Linked DNA regions of Arabidopsis thaliana. The protein of the gene in region 1 purifies or fractionates together with the protein of each later gene. This does not show direct contact. Each region holds a gene or a part of one and is shown in the gene's direction. Other genes may lie near its edges. The genes, in order: GDH1, AT4G30910 and LAP2.

Region 1 (7,087 bases):
CTTGTGTTCTACTAATCTTCCGAAAACACGACAAGCTGATCGTTTTCTCGTCTCCCCAACACCAGAATACTTATTCTCATGTGCAAGATTATCACATTGAAATCCCCAAGAATGGTTTCATCCGTCGTCTTGATTCCGTCCACGGTTTGATCTGCTTAGAAGGTTCTAAACAGCTCGTGATTTGTAACCCTACTTTGAAACGATTCTTCCCTTTACCTGAGCCTCAAGGCACCGGTGACGAATACAACGTAGGAGGGTTTCTGGGATATGAACCGATAGAGGGTAAATACAAAGCATTGTGCATTGTCAGAGGATGGAACACTCAAGTTCTTACATTGGAAATTCAAGAATCATGGAGAGTAACCAAACCTGGCTATACACATTGGCCTACTAAAGATACTGGACGATGCATTAATGGAGTTATCTACTATAAAGCTATTATATTTGATAGGGTTCCAAGGCATGTTATATTTGGCTTTGATCTCAGATATGAAGAGTTTACACATATTGAGTTTCCGATGCGTAATTATGACCGCTTTCTTATGGTATCTTATGAGGGAAGGTTGGCTTTGATAAGTTCCACTAGCTCTGTTGTTGAAATCTGGAGTTTGGAGGATGCAGGGAATCGAAAATGGTCGTATGAACAGTTTCATTTATGTCTTCCTCCCAACACAAGTCTGAAGGGTGTTATTGATGCTGGTGAGCTTATTTACACAGGATTTAGTTTGAATAGATCGTTCTGTGTTGTGTATTTTGATCCTAAGAAAAACAATATCAGAGAAACCAAGTTTCAAGGAATTGCGGATAACCAGATTTGGCAACCTGATAGACTTGGATTTGATCTTGTGAATGACTTTTATGTATTACCAAATCACATTGAGAGTTTCATCTCGTTTTAAGAGATTTCATCTTTTTGCATGGAATGACACTATATATTTCTGAAGTGTTCTTCAGATCTTTTTTTGTATCCACTGATTGATTGATCCCACTGGAGATCCCAATATGTTTTAATGATGATACTACATATTCTAGAGACTTAATAGAAACTTTATAAAACTATACATGGAGAGACTGTAATATGTGTTTTTGAGATTGAACCTACGATTCCTCTGTTCTGTTTCTAGCAATTTCCATGTGATCCTTTTCTCAAAAATAGAAAAGAGACTTTTGTCCTAAAGTTAAACAAGTACAGAAGAAGTACTTGAAATCTTCACTCAGACGATTAGAGCTTAGAGCATACGAAGATTAGCCTTAGTTACTTGCAGTATGAATTCAACATTTTGAGACATGGATCTCTGTAAAATTGACCAATATAGTGGTTTTATTATGGTACCTTATGAGAAAAGATTAGCCTGGATAGCCACAAATTCATTGATATTGGAGGACTTGGCTAAATTTGGGCGCTATTAGTCTATTACTAATGCTAGTGAATTTATTGTGTCATGAACTTTGATATTATTAGCAGTTTTAAGAGCCCTCAGGACAATAACATTTGGTAATGAATGTAATAACATCCCTTACATATTAGTGTTATAACACTATCTAGTTTACTCTCAATTTGGATGTGAGAGACCAATAATCATAATTCATAACAACTGATTTTGAGAAGGGTTCTGTTTTGTTTTCCAAAGAATGACACATAGCTAATTATATATGCAAGTTTATGATTCTCTGATAGATTCTTCTTGTTATGATTATCCGTTCACATTGAAGGGCTTTGTCATAATTTGATTTTTCTTTAGTTTGAATATATCGTAAGTCCTAAACATGCATGTCTTATTAAACAATGTGGGCTCTGCTCTGAAGACTATTGCCTACATTTATGCTATCTACTCAATCCCTTAGGAGTTATGGCATTTAGTTTCCAGCTGATGATATGTAGAACATTCATAAGCGAGCTCAAGATTCTACAATACGTGTATAAAAGATGAAGCCTAAGCTACTACTAGGCTGCATCGGTCAAAACACACAAGCCTTGTCTTTTTGTTTCTTTTTCTTACAAAAACTTTGTCTCCTACAGTGACTTCACCACCAACACCATCACTGACAAACACTAATAATGAAAGACCAAATTCGTATCACAGAAAGATAAGACTGAAAAATCAAAATGTTTCAATAGCATTAGCCTCCAGAAGAAATAACAACAGTCGTTGTACTTGTATCCTAGCTAAAAGCAAAATGTAATTGATTTATTGCGAATTAAACTCTATCTTGTTACAAACTTTAACAAAAGTTTTAATATTTTGAATTCCGTACATGTAAATGGAAGCATATTAATTGGGAAAACAAAAGAAACATAGTGGATAAGATTGTTTACAAGTCAACACACACCAATTTAGAAAAATCAAAGAAATCCCGATTTGATGCGAACATGACGACGCAACCATATCTCTCCAAATCAAAAGATTATGTGTGTCACATTCCCCACTAATTTCACTTATATCTAGCATAAGATGCCATATAATATACATGTAGTATGTAACGTTTTGAGAATGTTCTTATTCGGCGAGATTATTTTTCTGACAATACATAGCACAATGTTTAGTTTTCCCAAACTATATAATTGGAAAATTTTCCAATGACATCTCAAATATGTCGACATATCCAACCGTAATTCCGTAAATAGGAACAAAAACATCCAAAGAATTTAAGTCTAGTTGATCTCAAATTTTAGGCAAGTTGCAAATAAACACAAGTATATTTTAGTTGAATTATACAACTAAACTCAAAAGTACATGTTGTTCCAGAAATTAAACAGATAGACAGTTAGTTGGTAAAGATTTAATTAGTTGATTCAAAAAAGAAAAAAATTTCTCGAGTTATCTTAAAGTATGTTTGTCTTAACTTATCAAAATTATATCTAAAACCCACTTAAAGGCTTAAACCATGATTATTGTGTCTTGTCTTTTTTTGTAATTAAATTACTTAATCAGCTCCACCGTAATCAGCTGGACCTCCACTGAATCTTACCCAAACATATCGATCACGTGCCTGTGTATAAATAAATACATACACACTTAACAAGTTACAATCAGACTGACACCAATCTTCCTCTTTAACAGTCGTTTTATTACAGCGTTCTGATCAAAACTCCAGTGAAAGTTCAAAGTACACAGAGAGAAACAAAAAAAGAAGAAGAAGAAGTTGAAGAAGAAGAAGCCATGAATGCTTTAGCAGCAACAAACAGAAACTTCAAGTTAGCTGCTAGGCTTCTTGGTCTGGATTCTAAGCTCGAGAAAAGTCTTCTCATCCCCTTCCGAGAAATCAAGGTTCGCAAATTTTCACTCCTTTCTTAACCTAATTAACCTTGATCCGCTGATTTTGTGCCTTCGCCGGCGCCGGAGACGATTCGTCGCGGTGGATTGTAGTGAAAAATGATTACTGAATGTTTAGGGGCATTTCGAAACCCGACCCGCTTTTTTGTGGATCCAGTTACTTCAATCCGGTTGCTGAATTATATAACCGGAACAAACCAATTTAAATCAACCGGTTCTGGTATTTTTGTAGGTGGAATGTACCATACCGAAAGACGATGGTACACTAGCATCATTCGTTGGGTTCAGAGTTCAACACGACAATGCAAGAGGTCCCATGAAAGGTGGAATCAGATATCATCCTGAGGTTTTTGACCTTTTGACTTTGACCTTTTGAACCAAAACTCAAATGTAACAAACCAGTATACAATTTCGGTTTTGGTATATGATGCAAACCGGTTATCGTTTTCTTGCAGGTTGATCCGGATGAAGTGAACGCATTGGCTCAGCTCATGACATGGAAAACAGCAGTGGCTAAGATTCCTTACGGAGGAGCTAAAGGAGGGATTGGTTGTGATCCTAGCAAGCTCAGTATCTCCGAGCTCGAGCGGTTGACTCGAGTTTTCACTCAGAAGATTCATGATCTCATTGGGATTCATACTGATGTTCCAGCTCCAGATATGGGCACTGGTCCTCAGGTTCTTAAACTCTCTTCAGAACGTTTCCAAAATGTTCTGTGTTTTTTTTTGAAACCATCTTTCAACTTTTTCCCTTGGTGGAATTTGCAGACAATGGCTTGGATTCTTGATGAATACTCTAAGTTTCATGGATACTCGCCTGCAGTTGTGACTGGAAAACCCATTGTAAGTAAAGAATAATCACAATCTTGTTTTGCTAATGACTGGTTTAACCACCTGAATGTTTAATGATGTTTATGAACCAGGATCTTGGTGGATCGCTAGGGAGAGACGCGGCTACTGGAAGAGGAGTGATGTTTGGTACCGAAGCTTTGCTTAACGAGCACGGAAAGACCATATCAGGGCAGCGTTTTGTCATCCAGGTGACCTTTCTTTTATTGCGGTTTCCTGCGAGCCAAAGAAACTTTTCTTATTCTGGTTTACATATTGGTTCATTAGGGATTTGGTAATGTGGGTTCTTGGGCGGCAAAGCTGATAAGTGAAAAGGGTGGGAAGATTGTTGCCGTGAGTGACATTACCGGAGCAATCAAGAACAAGGATGGTATCGATATCCCGGCCTTGCTCAAGCATACTAAAGAACACAGAGGTGTCAAAGGGTTTGATGGTGCAGATCCGATCGATCCAAACTCCATACTGGTTGAGGATTGTGATATCCTCGTCCCTGCAGCACTTGGTGGTGTCATCAACAGGTTAGAGCTTTTTTTTGCTACAAAAGCTTACATATTGTTTTGAAACTTTTTAAAAACTATTAGTTGGATTTTGGTTTGAAGGGAGAATGCGAATGAGATTAAAGCAAAGTTCATCATAGAAGCAGCTAATCATCCAACTGATCCGGACGCGGATGAGGTTTGATTGTCTTCTTCTTTGACTTTGGAGTTTCTCATTGCGAATCTCTGTAATGGAGATTCTTGTATTACAGATCCTAAGTAAGAAAGGTGTGGTTATTCTCCCGGACATATATGCAAACTCTGGAGGAGTCACTGTAAGTTACTTCGAATGGGTTCAGGTATGTATGAGTCTCTCAACAACTTACCTTTGACAGACCAAGTACTCGAACAAAACCGATTTTGATCAGATTAGTTGTTTCCGGTAATGTGCAGAACATTCAAGGCTTTATGTGGGAGGAAGAGAAGGTGAACGATGAGCTAAAGACTTACATGACTCGCTCTTTCAAGGACTTGAAAGAGATGTGCAAAACTCACTCTTGCGATCTCCGGATGGGAGCTTTCACACTCGGTGTTAATCGTGTGGCTCAAGCTACCATTCTCAGAGGCTGGGGAGCTTAAAGATTATCTAATCTCTTATGCAATCTCTTTAGCAGCTCCTGAATAAGAATTGAGCCAAACTTTAATCTACTTTTTGTTTTATCCTCCTACTTTGGCTTAGAGGTCATCCTGAGTTAACAGATATGTGTTTACAAGTACTAGAAGACGCTTCTGTATGTAATAAAACCTTGGACTCTAATAGTTAATGAGCTTTTTTACTCTCTTGTTAATAAAACCAAGGTATCAAAAAACTAGAACCAAGAAAACAGTTATCATCAATATGGTTCTTAAAAAAAGCAATTTAAAGATAGCTTAAGGCTATAGAATATGAATCTAGGCCCTCCCTCGGCCTCTGAAGCCTCCACGAGGACCACCTCTTGGTTGAAACCCTCTGCTAGCACCTCTGGGAGCACCTCTACCTCTGAAATTGCCTCTACCACGGGGAGGCCCTCTACCACGGGGAGGGACTCTTCCTTCACCACGGCCTCCTGATTGTCCCCTGCAAGAAGAACAGAACAAAGACTTTCGTTACAGACTTTTTCTAACACTTGAACAAGTTTCTTCTACTACTTCAAGGGACCTAAGAATTGGTAACAAGGGTTAAGAAGTGTAGCTTACTTTGGTTGAGGAAGGAATCTTGATAGAGGTAAAAGCTTCTCAGGGCTAATGAAGAACTTATCGCCTTGACTATATGAGGTAGCTACAATACCTTCCCTCATTTTGATAGAAAATAGCTGAAAAAGTAAGAACCAATGCTTTGTATATTAGTGAGCAAGGCCAGTGAACGAAGAAGACAACAGAGAGAGAGAGATAACACATACAGATTCATTAATAGGACCAAAGATTTCATCTACTCTCCCAATCTGGGTCTTGTTTTGTAGGTAGATTGGGGCATTGAAATGTGGGATTTTCACATTGGAGAGCTTGAACACAGCATCTCCCTCACAAGCATGGAGAAAAGTTGCAACTTCTGTATAACACCACCAAGAAAGAAACTCTATCATAACAGAGACAATTCACAAGTTTGTTCCTTTTCAATTAACTTCAAAACTGTCACAAGAATCCAACAAAATCCTAATAACAGGAAAACAAATCATCAATCAGAATACAAAAATTTTCTTTTTGTCAAATTTCAGCAACAAACGCTCATTAATGTCAAAGCTGACAACTTTTTTCAATAATTTTTATCTGCTTGATTGGTAAGAATGAGAGAATCGTCAAAGAGGGTTGAAAACGAACCAACGACTTCGCTGGGAGGTCCTTCGTCATAATTACCACCACCAAAGCGTCCACGTCCACGTCCACGTCCACGTCCACGTCCGCCGTTATCTCTTCCTCCCCTTCCCCTGAAGCTGCCGCCGCCACGTGGTGGTCTCATCTTTTTGGTTTTGGTTTCTTCTATCGCTCTCTGCTCCTCAGAGGTTTTTATTTAGGGTTTCAGCGAGGGAAGCAATTGCCAATTGGAGTGTTGAAGAAGTAGTTGTGACTCTTAATAACGAAAAGAAAAAAAAGAAGGTAAACCACTAGGGTTTTCAGCAATCCCAGACCGGGTTACGACTCGTTAAACCGGGAAGAGATAAAATTTTCTTTTAGTAAATTTGTCAATAATTTTTGTAAAAATTTAACAAAAGATTTGAATAACAATGAGATATTATTTTATTTATTTATGCTTATGTCGGTTTAAGTTTGGTTTGGCTTTCTCACATTTCATTTATTTTAAACACTTGAAAGTTGAAACAAAGACTCAAACAAGGCAAGTGATACCAAAAAGTAAGCACACTTGAAGGCTTAAAAAGCCCTCAAAACTTTCTATTAAAACTAATTCAACTTCTCTGTTACCATCTTTTCTATCCTTTTATACTTCTACATA
Region 2 (7,383 bases), on another chromosome or scaffold:
CTTTCGTGATGGTTGACTATTGGTTTTTCTGCAGGCATATATACACCTAGTGATAAGCTTGCAAAGGAGGTGATTGCTGCATCAGAGAGGAGTGGAGAGAAGTTATGGAGAATGCCTATGGAAGAGAGTTACTGGGAGATGATGAAGTCAGGTGTTGCAGATATGGTTAACACTGGAGGCCGTGCAGGTGGATCCATTACCGCGGCTCTTTTCTTGAAACAGGTGAGTATATCATAAGAGTGGAAACAAAAGAACACATTTCAATACTGACGCTATTGTTCTCTAACGAAGAACCGGGTTTGGTTAATGGTTGCAGTTTGTGAGCGAGGATGTTGAGTGGATGCACATAGATATGGCTGGACCAGTGTGGAACGAGAAGAAGAAAGCTGCAACTGGGTTTGGAGTTGCGACACTAGTTGAGTGGGTACAGAACCATTCTTCTTCTTAAGATGAAGTCTGGTGATCTCTGACTGATGTGAACTAGTTGTGTTTTTGCTTTGTGTGGTGGGACAAGTTTTTTTTTTTTGTGCAACTAAGTATGACAAGTTAAATCAATCAGAAGATTAGTTTTGTTGTTGTATGCTTACCTAGTCTAAACTTAAATTCAACAACCACCGTGAGAGACACAGTTGAGCCACCGTTGTTGCTGTGTCCCGTCATGTTGTTGTATTTGAATGGGTCCGTGAGTTGTTGAGAAGGAGAGATAGTCGCCGTTCATCACCACTACAGCCACCGTGTGTCACCGGAGAGTGACACCACGAGTCACAGGATGTCAACCGCTGTCACCGGAGTAGTCGTAGTCCATCGCCAAGGCCGTTAAGGGTAAGGAAACCCTAGATCTATTATGTAACTTGCTCAGGAAGTTTTTGGCTTTCTCTTATGATCTGTGCTTTGTTTTGGTTTTGATTGTTGAGCTATGAGACCTTACTGCCGTGAGCTTAAACCGCCTCATCGAGCCCCGAGCAGATCCACCGAGAGTAATCGCCGAGAAAGGTAACGGCGAACCTTATCTCCCGTGTTTGTTGTTGATTATTGAACCGGATCTTAACCAGTCTAAACCAATGACTCTTAATTTAGTTAAGACCAGAACCGAAACCAATGACAATTTGCGTTGTTGGTGTATTATTACGTCTGTGTGGTGTAACTAGATTATAAGAATTTGGTTTGGTTTAATTATTAAACCAAGTCTAATTAATTTAATTGGAAGAATACCAAATCAATTAATCGAGATTTCTAAATTTGGTTTGGTTATTAGATTAAATCATGTATTTTTAATTGGATTTCACCTATTGATCCACAAATGAGTTACAAAAGTGATAATACTGACGTGTTTTTCAATTTCTTTTATCACTTCGTGTAAGAATGCCTTGAAATATTTGAATTTCTATAAATAGTATCAAAACTATGTTTTGTATAAACAACTTTAAATTTGAAGGCAACAAATAACAGTAGTAAGTATTTCAGATATGGTTATCAAGATAAGTTTAGTAATAGTGAAACATGATCACATTAAAATTTGAAAAGAAGTCTACAGCTAATCAAGATTGTTAAGATCGGGTCGGATAATAGCAATAGTGAGTGAGTCAAGTAAAAGAATAATCATCGTCAACAAGACACGACGGTCGGACGCGGGCGGACGCAAGAAGAGACTGGGCCACTCTAATTTTCTAAGATAACTCTAATTTCATACTATATATATATATATATATATATATGTCTGCATCAGCCACTCTGTTCTTCTCCTTATAAATAAATATAAAGAAGCTAAGCTCAGTGGAGACTTCTCAAATGGCGGTCACTTTGGTAACGTCATGTGCTTCTTCTTCTCGCTTCCATTTCCGCTCTTTCTCCTCTTCTCCGTCGTCTCTCTCCTCTTGTTTCGTACGATTCCAGTTGCTGTCTCGCCTTAGAGTCTCTTTCGCCATCACGCCTCTCTACTGCTCTTCTAAAGCCACGGCTCATACAATCGCACACGCTACTCTTGGCCTTACTCAGGCCAACTCCGTCGATCATCCTAAGGTTTGACTTTGCTGTTATGTGTTTAAACTCGATACTAGTGAATGCTTTGTAGATTCGTCGCTTTACTGTTTCCGATTAAGATGATCCACTGATTTGCTTACTTCGATTATGGTCAAGTCTTGTCAGAGATTAGCTTTCCAGATGCTTAACTGGATTCTGATTACTCGAGTTTTCTGTATCAGATCTCATTTTCCGGGAAGGAGATTGACGTGACTGAATGGAAAGGTGATATACTCGCTGTTGGAGTGACGGAGAAAGATATGGCTAAGGATGCCAACTCCAAGTTCGAGAACCCCATACTGAAGAAGCTTGATGCCCACTTGGGTGGACTTCTAGCTGATGTCTCGGCTGAGGAAGATTTTTCTGGGAAACCTGGCCAGTCAACAGTTCTTAGGCTTCCGGGTCTCGGCTCAAAGCGGGTCGGTTTGATTGGTCTTGGAAAATCTGCTTCAACCCCTTCGGCTTTTCAGAGTCTTGGTGAGGCTGTTGCTGCAGCTGCTAAAGCTTCTCAAGCTAGCAGTGTTGCAGTTGTTCTCGCCTCCTCTGAGAGTTTTTCTGATGAATCTAAGCTCAGTTCTGCTTCAGATATAGCTTCAGGTTGTGATTTCTTTTAGTAAACCTTGAGAAGTGCTTGTTTCATTACCATTTTTGAACTGATCCTTTTGTGGAATCGTTTTTTACTTTTGACAGGCACAGTGCTTGGTTTGTTTGAAGACAGTCGGTATAAGTCTGAGTCAAAGAAACCATCTCTCAAATCTGTAGTATTCATTGGCTTTGGCACTGGACCTGAACTAGAGAACAAGCTTAAGTATGCTGAACATGTTTCTTATGGCGTAATTTTCACGAAAGAACTTGTTAATTCACCAGCCAATGTTCTCTCCCCTGGTATGGATTATAATCATACTCTTAGACTTCTCATGTTTTTTATAATGTGAGCATCATGTCTATTGAAGTTTATTTCAAACATTTGACTCTAATCTGCTTTGTATCTTACAGCCGTACTAGCTGAGGAAGCCTCGAATCTGGCTTCCATGTACAGTAATGTCATGACTGCAAACATCTTGAAAGAGGAGCAATGCAAAGAATTGAAGATGGGTTCATATCTTGCTGTAGCTGCTGCTTCAGCTAATCCACCTCATTTCATCCACCTTATCTACAAACCTTCTAGTGGCCCTGTTAAAACCAAACTTGCTCTTGTTGGAAAAGGATTGACATTTGACAGGTACTCGCAAGAGCTGTTGTCTTCTGTTTGCCGCATCAATCTCTTTCTTTTATACTTATTGGTTATTGACCATCTGGTTTTTGTTCACAGCGGTGGCTACAACATTAAAATTGGGCCTGAATTAATAATTGAGCTCATGAAAATCGATGTGGGAGGTTCAGCTGCTGTTCTTGGCGCTGCAAAAGCCATTGGTGAAATTAAGCCTCCCGGTGTTGAGGTAAGTTTATCACACGGAGCTTGAGTTTCTGAGTTAAGTGAATGTACCTGAACAAATGCTTCTTTGCACAATTAGGTGCACTTTATTGTCGCAGCTTGTGAGAATATGATAAGTGGTACCGGAATGAGACCTGGAGATGTCATCACAGCCTCAAACGGGAAGACAATTGAGGTATCATTACACCGTTTCCATATGAATTCAGCTTCGAAAGGTTCAAGCTTTCCATTGTTAGTGTTGCAGGTCAACGACACCGATTCTGAAGGTCGGCTAACACTTGCAGATGCTCTAGTTTATGCTTGCAACCAGGGTGTCGATAAGGTATTGTTTCAAAGATTCTTCCCCTTATCAATAACATTCTTTCTGCTGGGTTTTCTCTCAACTTGTGAATCATATATATTTGCAGATTGTTGACATTGCAACATTGACCGGGGAGATTATTGTTGCTCTTGGACCATCAATGGCAGGTACATAGTCTTGTGTATAAAATAGACAGAATGACATTCTTTCGTGATGATTGAATATTGGTTTCGATTTTTGATTTCTGCAGGCATGTACACAGCTAGTGATGAGCTTGCCAAGGAGGTAATTGCTGCATCACAGAGGAGTGGAGAGAAGTTATGGAGAATGCCTATGGAAGAGAGTTATTGGGAGATGATGAAGTCAGGTGTTGCAGATATGGTTAACTTTGGAGGCCGTGCAGGTGGATCCATCACCGCAGCTCTCTTTTTGAAACGGGTGAGGATACCATAAGAGTGGAAACAAAAAAACACACTTCAATACTGATTCTATTGTTCTCTAACGAAGAACCGGATTTGGTTAATGGTTGCAGTTTGTTAGCGAGAATGTTGAGTGGTTGCACATAGATATGGCTGGACGGGTGTGGAACGAGAAGAAGAAAGCTGCGACTGGGTTTGGAGTTGCGACACTTGTTGAGTGGGTACAGAACAATTCTTCTTAAGATGTAGGCAGGTGATCTTTGTGCTCCCAGTTCTTATTTAACATTCTCAGAGGTTTTAATGTAGGTAAAAGGGTTTTTATTTGCTTGTGTGAACTGTGAAGTGTGACGCTTGAATATGACGAGTTACCCATTTGAAAGTATTTGACTATTTGTAGATATTCTTGTGTTCCGTAACATCACTTACCTAATAACACAAACTATTAGGAGCACAAGATGAAGGATACAAGTCGTCAATCTTATGTTTCAGTGGTCATCAATAATAACACAAACTATTAGGAGCAAACAAAACAATTTATTTAAATCTCTTTTGAATATGTTTTAGCTCAAATCAATAAATAAAGGCGCCGAGAAAAAAACAGAGCTCATTTGCACAACAATCAGTATAGTCCAAAGCTTAAGCAAGTGAGGACATGTGTTCTAGCTTTCCTCTTGAGCAGGAGCAGAAACAGGAGGAGTAGGTTCAAGCATTCTTACAGAACGAGGAAGCATAAACTCAGCAAACACAGGGTAGTGAGATGAAGGATACAAGTCGTCAATCTTATCATTTACGATCTCGCACATTACAGGAACTATAGATCTACCTCTGTAAAGTATCCAATCCGTGTGTAGATCTTGCGTCTGTCGGTCCCAGCAGAGGCATAACGCTCTGAATATCAGCTTCAGGAACTCGACCGTTCCCTGCTTGTCACCTGAACAAAGGCCCAACATGTTATGATCTAGAAGCTTTGGAGATAAATGATTTTTATAGCTCATGAGAGGGTGGAATGTTTCACACCTTTGAAATCATGGTATGTTCTTATGAGAGCGACGTTTTTTCTTACTCGGGCACTTGGCCATGCGTCTCTCATATCTCCTACCACACCATGCTCTCTGCAAGTTGAATGATGCCCAAAAGCCATTCATCAGCAGTCAAATAAGTAAATATGCTTTGATTTGAAACTAGTTGATCAGTGTGTGAAGAATGGTTTAGCCATTCTTGCATTAACTAGGAGCCCTGAAAGAAAACTCTAGGAGATTGGTAAAAAGCACAAAACTTGTGAATGTGATATTAAGGTACCTAGATCTGCCCAACAGAAACCGCCCTGTTGTTGATTCCTTCTGTGTGTTGAATCCTCCACAGTACACAACCGGCAAAGTGGGAGGTAATGATGCTATGTGTTGCCATGTGAGTAAAGCACTTCGCCTACGGGCACGAGGGCTGATTTCATCCAAGTTTGTGTTGACTATCTGAAACGAAAAACCAGGCGGCTCCGCTCCTTTAAGTTGGAATGTGTAGGCAGCTTGTCAAAGAAAACCAAAATACTGATATATAGGACAAAAACACCAAAATCATAAACTAATCTAATTATAGTTTAACTAAAATGAACCCAACTAGTAAAAAGGATATAGCCCATGTCGCTATACAAGGAACTGCGGAACCCCATGCCGTGCTTCCAGGGACCGAGGGAGACTCTGACAACCAAAAAGTTCCACCCTCTAGCAGCTCTACCTTCAATTAGTATAAAGTATAGTATCAAGCAGCGTATTAATTATTTAGAGCGTAGTTATGTATTGTCTTATCAACCGAATTAATACTTTTTCCTTGTTGAAGAAGATGGTGCAGTGTTCATCATTAGCATCCCCAGGTCCTGTTCTTGATATGCCAAATTGATCATAGGCTGCAAGCAAAGAGTACTACCATCTATTTAAGTTCAAAGAAACAATGCAAACTGAAGTATTATTAAGGCATGTGAAACTAGAAGCTAAGCTCCATGGTTCACAGTAACAAAAACCAGATAAACAATACCACCATCATTTCAAAGAAAGCACCTGTAAATGTGAGAATATCATGCATTCCATTGCCATAAAACAGATGCATTAAGTGCACTAGACTCCGGCTTTTGTAGCCTAAAAACACTAACTTGAACTTGATGCAAAAAAGGATACGGATTGACAAATTGGCTATCAGATTTAAGCAATACCAACATATACTAAAAATAGAATTAAATCTAGTAGATCACAAATAGATTTACATAGTAGATTGAGAACAAGAAGAGTGGTCTACGATTGATAACAAGATTCACACTAGTCTGTGAACTTAAGAAGAAGCAGACTGCTGTATACAAACAGGGTTCAATTAGACCTAACTCACACCATTTAAGTAGAGATTAGACTTCCATAAATCAAAGAGAATTCAATTATACCTGGCAACCCCTGCTGAAGATAATCCAACTGCGACTTCACACCTAACCAATGTAAACATGATAACAAAAGATCAAAACGAAAATCCTATCTCTGTTCAATATTTCAGAAGGCAAGAAAAAGCACAAGAATCAATCTCCAGCATTCAGGAAAAAGAAGCCTTCTTGGAGAACCAATATAAAGAAGGAAGCAAGATCTAACAAGCATTGAATCACCAATACGAAGAAGGAATCAAAGATCTAACAAGCATTGATCCATTGTGGCTAAAGATTATTACCTTGTTGGGTACAGAGAACAATGGGGGAGTAACTAGTGATGACAGTGAGACACAAATCTTTCCTTTTGAGCCATGAATTAGGGCTTTCTTCAGGTAGATCATCGTGAAGATTGAATGACATCACACTCAAAGACACACTCATTGTTTTGTCTCCTTTCTTCTTCTTCTTCTTCCTCTAGTTTTCTCTCTTCTTTCTTTATGGTTTGGTAAGACGAATAAAAACAAAGGTCTCTCTCACATCAGCAGCAGCTCATCGTCGTCGTGACCTACATGATTTTCAATAATAAGTCAAAAGCTTATCAATTTTTATGTGAAAAAACAGCTCAGGATTCGAAGAAAGAAAATCAATCAACATAATTTATTATATTATATTATTGAGGAATCCAATACGAACCTTGTTGTTTCAGACTCTTATCAACAACAACAGTGGAGAAAATGAGTCTTGGACATTTGACGACTTTTGCTGGAAAATCTGTGAAAGTCATGCCCTTTGATCACCAAAAGTCTCT
Region 3 (7,681 bases), on another chromosome or scaffold:
AGGTGTTCGAGAAAATTCCTCTGTGGAACCAAATGTTGAAGATGTATTAGAAGTGAATGTGAGTTTGCTTCAGACTCTTCTGCTATTCATAAACTTTCTTAACACTTACAACTTTGATTCTCTCATTAACATTGATTGTGCTAGAACTTGTAAAGTTTAACTCATTTCAGTGTCTTCGATGTTACTCGTTCAGTGATTATACAATAACATGGGAATAGGATTAATCGTAATGGTTTTAACCTTTGGCCAAGTTCAATCTGTATCTGTATCAGTTTGATCTGTTACATTTTAGTGTGTCTGATTTCTTAGGCAATTCTGAGGACAAGAATCACTGTTATCAAGGCATGACATTTAACTGCTTTTTGTATCACATTGGCAGGAGACTGATAGCGTCAAGGAAACTGTTGTAAGTGCGATTGTGCCGGTTGATGAAGTGGAAGAGAATCGTCAGGTAGAAACATCTCCTTCTCTGGCTGCATCGTCAGACTCATTGACAGTGACGCCATGTCTATCTTTGGATCCTGCAACTGCTTCAACCGCACAAGATTTACCACTGGTTTCAGTTCCAACTAAACAAGAGCAAAGATCAGATTCGCCGGTGGTTAACAGATTGTCGGTTACTCCTGTTCCTAGGACACCGGCTCGTGATGGTTATAATTGGAGAAAATATGGACAGAAGCAGGTTAAGAGTCCCAAGGGCTCACGGAGTTACTACAGGTGTACATACACTGAATGTTGTGCTAAAAAAATTGAATGCTCCAATGATTCAGGCAATGTGGTAGAGATTGTTAACAAAGGTTTACATACTCATGAACCTCCCCGGAAGACTAGCTTCTCCCCGAGAGAGATTAGAGTTACAACAGCTATCCGGCCTGTTTCAGAGGATGATACAGTAGTAGAAGAGCTATCAATTGTTCCTAGCGGTTCAGATCCGTCTGCTTCTACTAAAGAATACATCTGTGAGTCGCAAACACTCGTTGACCGGAAAAGACACTGTGAGAACGAAGCTGTGGAGGAACCAGAGCCAAAACGAAGGCAAGTTTGTAGAATTTTGCATTTCGGTGCTTACTCTTCACTTTGAAAGATGAAATTAATAGACTTTCTTCTCTCTATTTTTCAGACTGAAAAAAGATAACTCACAGAGTTCAGATTCTGTCTCCAAACCTGGAAAGAAAAACAAATTCGTAGTACACGCAGCTGGTGATGTTGGTATCTGTGGTGATGGATACAGGTGGCGTAAATACGGGCAGAAAATGGTGAAAGGAAATCCTCATCCAAGGTCTAGAAAACTAAACGCATGACCCATCTCTTTATCCACATATGACATCTTCTAATACGCATGGTGATTGATTTGTTCTGTTTCAAACATTCAGGAACTACTACCGATGCACTTCAGCGGGATGTCCAGTTCGTAAACACATTGAGACAGCAGTCGAGAACACAAAAGCAGTAATAATCACATACAAAGGAGTACACAACCACGACATGCCGGTGCCTAAGAAACGCCATGGTCCTCCAAGCTCAATGCTCGTAGCTGCAGCCGCTCCAACATCAATGAGAACCAGGACAGACGATCAGGTGAACATTCCGACTTCAAGCCAGTGCTCGGTGGGGCGAGAAAGTGAGAAGCAGAGTAAAGAAGCATTGGACGTTGGTGGAGAGAAAGTGATGGAATCAGCTAGGACTTTGTTGAGCATTGGATTCGAAATCAAGCAATGCTGATTATATGTAGTTTATGAGTTTTATAGAGTTCATCGACTCAATTTTCGCCTCCTTGTTCTTGTTATATAATAATAATAAAAAACCCCATGAAGATTACCAACTAAATACGTTAACATTCGTCTGTGTAATGATGGTATATGTTTATTGTGATATTAAATCGCTAATTTTAGTGAATAGCCTCTGGTTCGTCTAGAGGGTCTTCTGAAACTTGAAAGGGACTAAAAGACGAGAACAAAAACCCTTTCTCTCTACTCTGTGTAAACCCTAGTGTGTTCGTGCTCTCCGATGGCGAGTCTTCGATGCTTTCGTGAGCTGAGCCGCCGCGCTACGACTGTTTTCTCCATCAACCAGACGCGATCGATCTCTTCATTTCATGGGATTGAGTTTTCCGGGACCAGCATTTCTCATGGGACCGTAATTCCGAATCGATCTCTCACTAGGAATTTGCCATGGTACAGTCATTGGTATCGCTCTCAAGATCGTTGTTTCTCTTCGAACACAAAGGATACTGATGAAGATGAAGAAAGCAGTGAAGGAGAGGATGATGATGAGGAGGAGGGGGAAGACTTTGAGGATTCGGCGGATATGGAAGTAGAAAGGGAATATTCACCGGCGGAGAAAGTGGAAGAGGCGGAGGAGATAGGGTACAAGGTGATGGGTCCTCTTAAACCTTCGGAGAGACTTTTCAAACCCTATGAACCAGTGTTTGCCATTGTTCAGGTCTCGTCTCTGTGCTATCTCAATTAATCCTTTAGTTTCATTTCTCACTCTCACTGATGCTGAGTGGTTATTTTTATCCTGTAGATTGGTTCGCATCAGTTTAAAGTTAGCAATGGGGACTCCATTTTCACCGAGAAGTTGAAATTCTGTGACATCAATGATAAGGTATGCTAGCTTCAAGCTCTTCTTCGTTAATCTTTGCTATTCTTCTCTCAAAGGGCTAGACTTTACCGTATCTCTCGTAAGAAGGACGAACCTTTGCATTTGTGTTTATGATTTATGATTGTTGCTAAAACCTTTCTCTTTATGTCCCTTTGCAGTTGGAACTAACCAAGGTTCTTCTATTGGGCTCGGCAAGCCAGACGATTATTGGTAGGCCTATTTTGCCAGATGCGACAGTTCATGCTGTAGTTGAAGAGCATGTAAGTGTCTCATTGACTTGCTTGGTGTTTTATAATACTAGTGAAGCTGTGCTTAAGAATAATTTACAATTGAAAAGAGGATAGATGAGAGTTTGCTTGCTGAATCCGGTGACTGAGAGAAACTAAATCAAACTGTCTGCTGATTAGTTTGTGAAAGTCTTGCAAGTCATTAGATTAGTGTTCATCTATCTCTACATCATCTGAATGTCTTGATTTAAGATGGGCTTGGAATGTAGAAGGATCTACTCATGTACCAGCATTACTCAACTAGTTTTTCCTTGATGCGTGACAGGCTTTGGATGAAAAAGTGCTCATTTTCAAAAAGAAACGAAGAAAGAATTATAGGAGAACGAGAGGACATCGACAGGTATACTTTATAACTCCTTGTTTAGATAGACAGTGTGTTTATTTCATCTTTGCCTTCTTCTAGTTCTTTCCACTGTGTTATGATTGTTGTTTTTGACCATTCAACACTTGTGTCCAGGAATTGACGAAGTTGAGAATAACCGATATACAAGGAATTGAAAAACCAGAACCGAAGATCGTCCATAAGCCTTCGAAAGAAGCTGTTACAGAACAGACGAAGGCTGAGCTAGTTGCTTAGAGATAAAATTTGCTTCTTTCTTTTTTGCTGATGCCGATACATTTGAAGTAAGTTAAATTATCACTTGCTGTTCACTAAGAACTAGATTTTAAAGTCGTTGAAATGATGAAAAGGCCTTCTTGGTAGTTAGTGGTAAGTAACTAGGCTCCTGAGATATGAAATGTGATTTGCCTTTCACTGTCTTGTTCTCCTTGCTCTTCATTTTGTATTTAAACTGGCTCATGCTTGTGGGAGCTGTTTGTTGCTTCTGTTTCAGAAATAAAGATTTGCGGAAACATCTCTCTCCTTATCTTCTCTATGCTTTGTACTTTGTACTGTACTACTGTGGTTTGGTTATGGTTTAATTTACTTCTTCATGCAAGTCTCGGTCACAGATATGAAACTGGTGGTAAATTGGTAATAACTGCAAGTCACATTACACTCAAAATCTCGATTTTTTCCACTATGACTCTTTAGATCAGGTGATTATTATTGTAACTATATATGGCAACCACTTCCTCATCAACAAATGATTCACAGAATTGATAGTACTTGGAACTGATTTATAATTTCTTTTATCAACATCGGAAAATCGTGTAAGAATGCCTTGAAATATTTGAATGTTTGTAAATAGTATCAAAACCATTGTTTGTATAAATATGTATAAAGAACTTAAACAAAAGCAATTTGGAGCCAAAGAGAATTATAAAGCTACACGAGTACGTAAGTCCATGGTTAAGATCGGGTCGGGTGGGGACGGGTTGGATAAAAGCAAACAATGAGTCAAGTAAAAGAAGAATCATCGTCAACAAGAGAGAGAGAGAGATAAGCACAAACGCGGCTTTTCTTCTCCTTATAAATAAGAGAAGCTCAGTGCGTTACTCAAATGGCCGTCACTTTGGTAACGTCCTTCGCTTCTTCGTCTTCTCGCTTCCATTTCCGCTCATTCTCCTCTTCTCCGTCGTCTCTCTCCTCTTGTTTCGTCCGATTCCAGTTCCCCTCTCGCCTTAGACTCGCTTTTGCCGTCACGCCTCTCTACTCTTCTTCTAGAGCCATGGCTCATACAATCTCACACGCTACTCTCGGCCTCACTCAGGCTAACTCCGTCGATCATCCTAAGGTTTGTTCCTGATCGCTTGCAGCATTATTCGATTTTGCTGTTATGTGTTTAAACTCGATACTAGTGAATGCTTTGTAGATTCGTCGCTTTACTGTTTCCGATTAAGATGATCCACTGATTTGCTGACTTCGATTATGGTCAAGTCTTGTCAGAGATTAGCTTTCGAGTTTGAATTTTTGTGGTTAATTGGATTCTGATTAGTCGAATTTGCTGTATCAGATCTCATTTTCGGGGAAGGAGATCGACGTGACGGAATGGAAAGGTGATATACTCGCTGTTGGAGTGACGGAGAAAGACATGGCTAAGGATGTGAACTCCAAGTTCGAAAACCCGATTCTGAAGAAGCTTGATGCTCACTTGGGTGGACTTTTAGCTGATGTCTCGTCTGAGGAAGATTTTTCTGGGAAACCTGGTCAGTCGACAGTTCTTAGGCTTCCGGGTCTTGGGTCTAAGCGAGTTGGTTTGATTGGTCTTGGAAAATCTGCTTCAACTCCTTCGGCTTTTCAGAGTCTCGGTGAGGCTGTTGCTGCAGCTGCTAAAGCTTCTCAAGCTAGCAGTGTTGCAGTTGTTCTCGCCTCCTCTGAGAGTGTTTCTAATGAATCTAAGCTCTGTTCTGCGTCAGCTATAGCTTCAGGTGTTTTATTTGTTGTTGTTGTGGTTTCGTCTATTAAAGCTCGAGAATGGTTGTTTCATTACCATTTTGGAACTGATCGTTATGTGGAATTGTTGTTTATTTTTACAGGCACAGTGCTTGGTTTGTTTGAAGACAGCCGGTATAAGTCTGAGTCGAAGAAACCATCACTCAAATCTGTAGATATCATTGGCTTTGGCTCTGGACCTGAACTAGAGAAGAAGCTTAAGTATGCTGAACATGTTTCTTATGGCGTTATTTTCGGGAAAGAACTCGTTAATTCTCCAGCCAATGTTCTCACTCCTGGTGAGGATTGTTTCTTGAGCATCAGTCTTAGACTTTTCATTTTTTTTTTTTTTAATAATGTGAGCATCATGTCTGTTGAAGTTTATTTCAAACATTTTTCTCTAATCTGCTTTGTATCTTACAGCCGTACTAGCTGAGGAAGCCTTGAATCTGGCTTCCATGTACAGTGATGTCATGACTGCCAACATCTTGAACGAGGAGCAATGCAAAGAGTTGAAGATGGGTTCATATCTTGCTGTAGCTGCTGCTTCAGCTAATCCACCTCATTTCATACATCTTATCTACAAACCTTCTAGTGGCCCTGTTAAAACAAAACTTGCTCTTGTTGGAAAAGGATTGACATTTGACAGGTACTAGAGCTGTTGGCTTCTGTTTGCCGCATCAATCTCTTTATTTAATACTTATTAGTTATTGACCAGATGGTTTTTGTTCACAGCGGTGGCTACAACATTAAAACCGGGCCTGGCTGCTTAATTGAGCTCATGAAATTCGATATGGGAGGTTCAGCTGCTGTTCTTGGCGCTGCAAAAGCCATTGGTCAAATTAAGCCTCCAGGTGTTGAGGTAAGTTTATCACACGGAGCTTGCGTTTCTGAGTTAAATGAATGTACCTAAACAAATGCTTCGTTGCACAATCAGGTGCACTTTATTGTCGCAGCTTGTGAGAATATGATAAGTGGTACTGGAATGAGACCTGGAGATGTCCTCACAGCCTCAAACGGAAAGACGATTGAGGTATCATAACACCGTTTCCATATGAATTCAGCTTCAAAAGGTTCGAGCTTTCCATTGTTAGTTTTACGCCAAACTAATTGTGGGTGGTATTGCAGGTCAACAACACCGATGCTGAAGGTCGACTAACACTTGCAGATGCTTTAGTTTATGCTTGCAACCAGGGTGTCGATAAGGTATTGTTTCAAAGATTCTTCGACTTATTAATACATTCTTTCTGTTGGTTTTTCTCTCAAGTCTCAACTTGTGAATTACAATATTTGCAGGTTGTTGACCTTGCAACATTGACTGGGGCTTGTATTATTGCTCTTGGAACATCAATGGCAGGTACATAGTCTTGTGTTTTAAATAAGACAGAATAAAATTCTTTCGTGATGGTTGACTATTGGTTTTTCTGCAGGCATATATACACCTAGTGATAAGCTTGCAAAGGAGGTGATTGCTGCATCAGAGAGGAGTGGAGAGAAGTTATGGAGAATGCCTATGGAAGAGAGTTACTGGGAGATGATGAAGTCAGGTGTTGCAGATATGGTTAACACTGGAGGCCGTGCAGGTGGATCCATTACCGCGGCTCTTTTCTTGAAACAGGTGAGTATATCATAAGAGTGGAAACAAAAGAACACATTTCAATACTGACGCTATTGTTCTCTAACGAAGAACCGGGTTTGGTTAATGGTTGCAGTTTGTGAGCGAGGATGTTGAGTGGATGCACATAGATATGGCTGGACCAGTGTGGAACGAGAAGAAGAAAGCTGCAACTGGGTTTGGAGTTGCGACACTAGTTGAGTGGGTACAGAACCATTCTTCTTCTTAAGATGAAGTCTGGTGATCTCTGACTGATGTGAACTAGTTGTGTTTTTGCTTTGTGTGGTGGGACAAGTTTTTTTTTTTTGTGCAACTAAGTATGACAAGTTAAATCAATCAGAAGATTAGTTTTGTTGTTGTATGCTTACCTAGTCTAAACTTAAATTCAACAACCACCGTGAGAGACACAGTTGAGCCACCGTTGTTGCTGTGTCCCGTCATGTTGTTGTATTTGAATGGGTCCGTGAGTTGTTGAGAAGGAGAGATAGTCGCCGTTCATCACCACTACAGCCACCGTGTGTCACCGGAGAGTGACACCACGAGTCACAGGATGTCAACCGCTGTCACCGGAGTAGTCGTAGTCCATCGCCAAGGCCGTTAAGGGTAAGGAAACCCTAGATCTATTATGTAACTTGCTCAGGAAGTTTTTGGCTTTCTCTTATGATCTGTGCTTTGTTTTGGTTTTGATTGTTGAGCTATGAGACCTTACTGCCGTGAGCTTAAACCGCCTCATCGAGCCCCGAGCAGATCCACCGAGAGTAATCGCCGAGAAAGGTAACGGCGAACCTTATCTCCCGTGTTTGTTGTTGATTATTGAACCGGATCTTAACCAGTCTAAACCAATGACTCTTAATTTAGTTA

What was found.
Region 2: the proteins of GDH1 (region 1) and AT4G30910 fractionate together in Arabidopsis thaliana (co-fractionation; one large-scale study listed by BioGRID). This does not show direct contact.
Region 3: the proteins of GDH1 (region 1) and LAP2 fractionate together in Arabidopsis thaliana (co-fractionation; one large-scale study listed by BioGRID). This does not show direct contact.

What each region holds. Positions count from the first base shown.
Region 1 is NC_003076.8:6,003,011-6,010,097, forward strand, and holds GDH1 (glutamate dehydrogenase 1), read left to right. Parts: upstream 1-3,024; 5' UTR 3,025-3,161; coding exon 3,162-3,269; intron 3,270-3,507; coding exon 3,508-3,621; intron 3,622-3,730; coding exon 3,731-3,952; intron 3,953-4,042; coding exon 4,043-4,117; intron 4,118-4,197; coding exon 4,198-4,314; intron 4,315-4,390; coding exon 4,391-4,641; intron 4,642-4,722; coding exon 4,723-4,798; intron 4,799-4,871; coding exon 4,872-4,958; intron 4,959-5,052; coding exon 5,053-5,238; 3' UTR 5,239-5,550; downstream 5,551-7,087. Other genes in the region: AT5G18160 (F-box and associated interaction domains-containing protein), read left to right, coding at 1-899; AT5G18180 (H/ACA ribonucleoprotein complex, subunit Gar1/Naf1 protein), read right to left, coding at 5,551-5,716, 5,836-5,951, 6,039-6,187, 6,457-6,595.
Region 2 is NC_003075.7:15,039,654-15,047,036, reverse strand, and holds AT4G30910 (Cytosol aminopeptidase family protein), read left to right. Parts: upstream 1-1,692; 5' UTR 1,693-1,788; coding exon 1,789-2,019; intron 2,020-2,201; coding exon 2,202-2,616; intron 2,617-2,709; coding exon 2,710-2,904; intron 2,905-3,015; coding exon 3,016-3,241; intron 3,242-3,331; coding exon 3,332-3,458; intron 3,459-3,533; coding exon 3,534-3,776; intron 3,777-3,861; coding exon 3,862-3,922; intron 3,923-4,005; coding exon 4,006-4,193; intron 4,194-4,287; coding exon 4,288-4,416; 3' UTR 4,417-4,680; downstream 4,681-7,383. Other genes in the region: LAP2 (Cytosol aminopeptidase family protein), read left to right, coding at 35-222, 317-448; AT4G30900 (DNAse I-like superfamily protein), read right to left, coding at 4,834-5,105, 5,192-5,286, 5,474-5,688, 5,804-5,905, 5,992-6,074, 6,600-6,641, 6,875-7,016. UniProt on the Arabidopsis thaliana protein: Presumably involved in the processing and regular turnover of intracellular proteins. Catalyzes the removal of unsubstituted N-terminal amino acids from various peptides. Possesses Cys-Gly dipeptidase activity.
Region 3 is NC_003075.7:15,045,957-15,053,637, reverse strand, and holds LAP2 (Cytosol aminopeptidase family protein), read left to right. Parts: upstream 1-4,199; 5' UTR 4,200-4,333; coding exon 4,334-4,567; intron 4,568-4,786; coding exon 4,787-5,201; intron 5,202-5,309; coding exon 5,310-5,504; intron 5,505-5,628; coding exon 5,629-5,854; intron 5,855-5,940; coding exon 5,941-6,067; intron 6,068-6,142; coding exon 6,143-6,238; intron 6,239-6,333; coding exon 6,334-6,411; intron 6,412-6,501; coding exon 6,502-6,562; intron 6,563-6,635; coding exon 6,636-6,823; intron 6,824-6,917; coding exon 6,918-7,049; 3' UTR 7,050-7,181; downstream 7,182-7,681. Other genes in the region: WRKY32 (WRKY DNA-binding protein 32), read left to right, coding at 3-58, 380-1,035, 1,121-1,279, 1,374-1,722; NFD1 (Ribosomal protein L21), read left to right, coding at 2,008-2,442, 2,527-2,607, 2,763-2,864, 3,157-3,231, 3,349-3,468. UniProt on the Arabidopsis thaliana protein: Presumably involved in the processing and regular turnover of intracellular proteins. Catalyzes the removal of unsubstituted N-terminal amino acids from various peptides.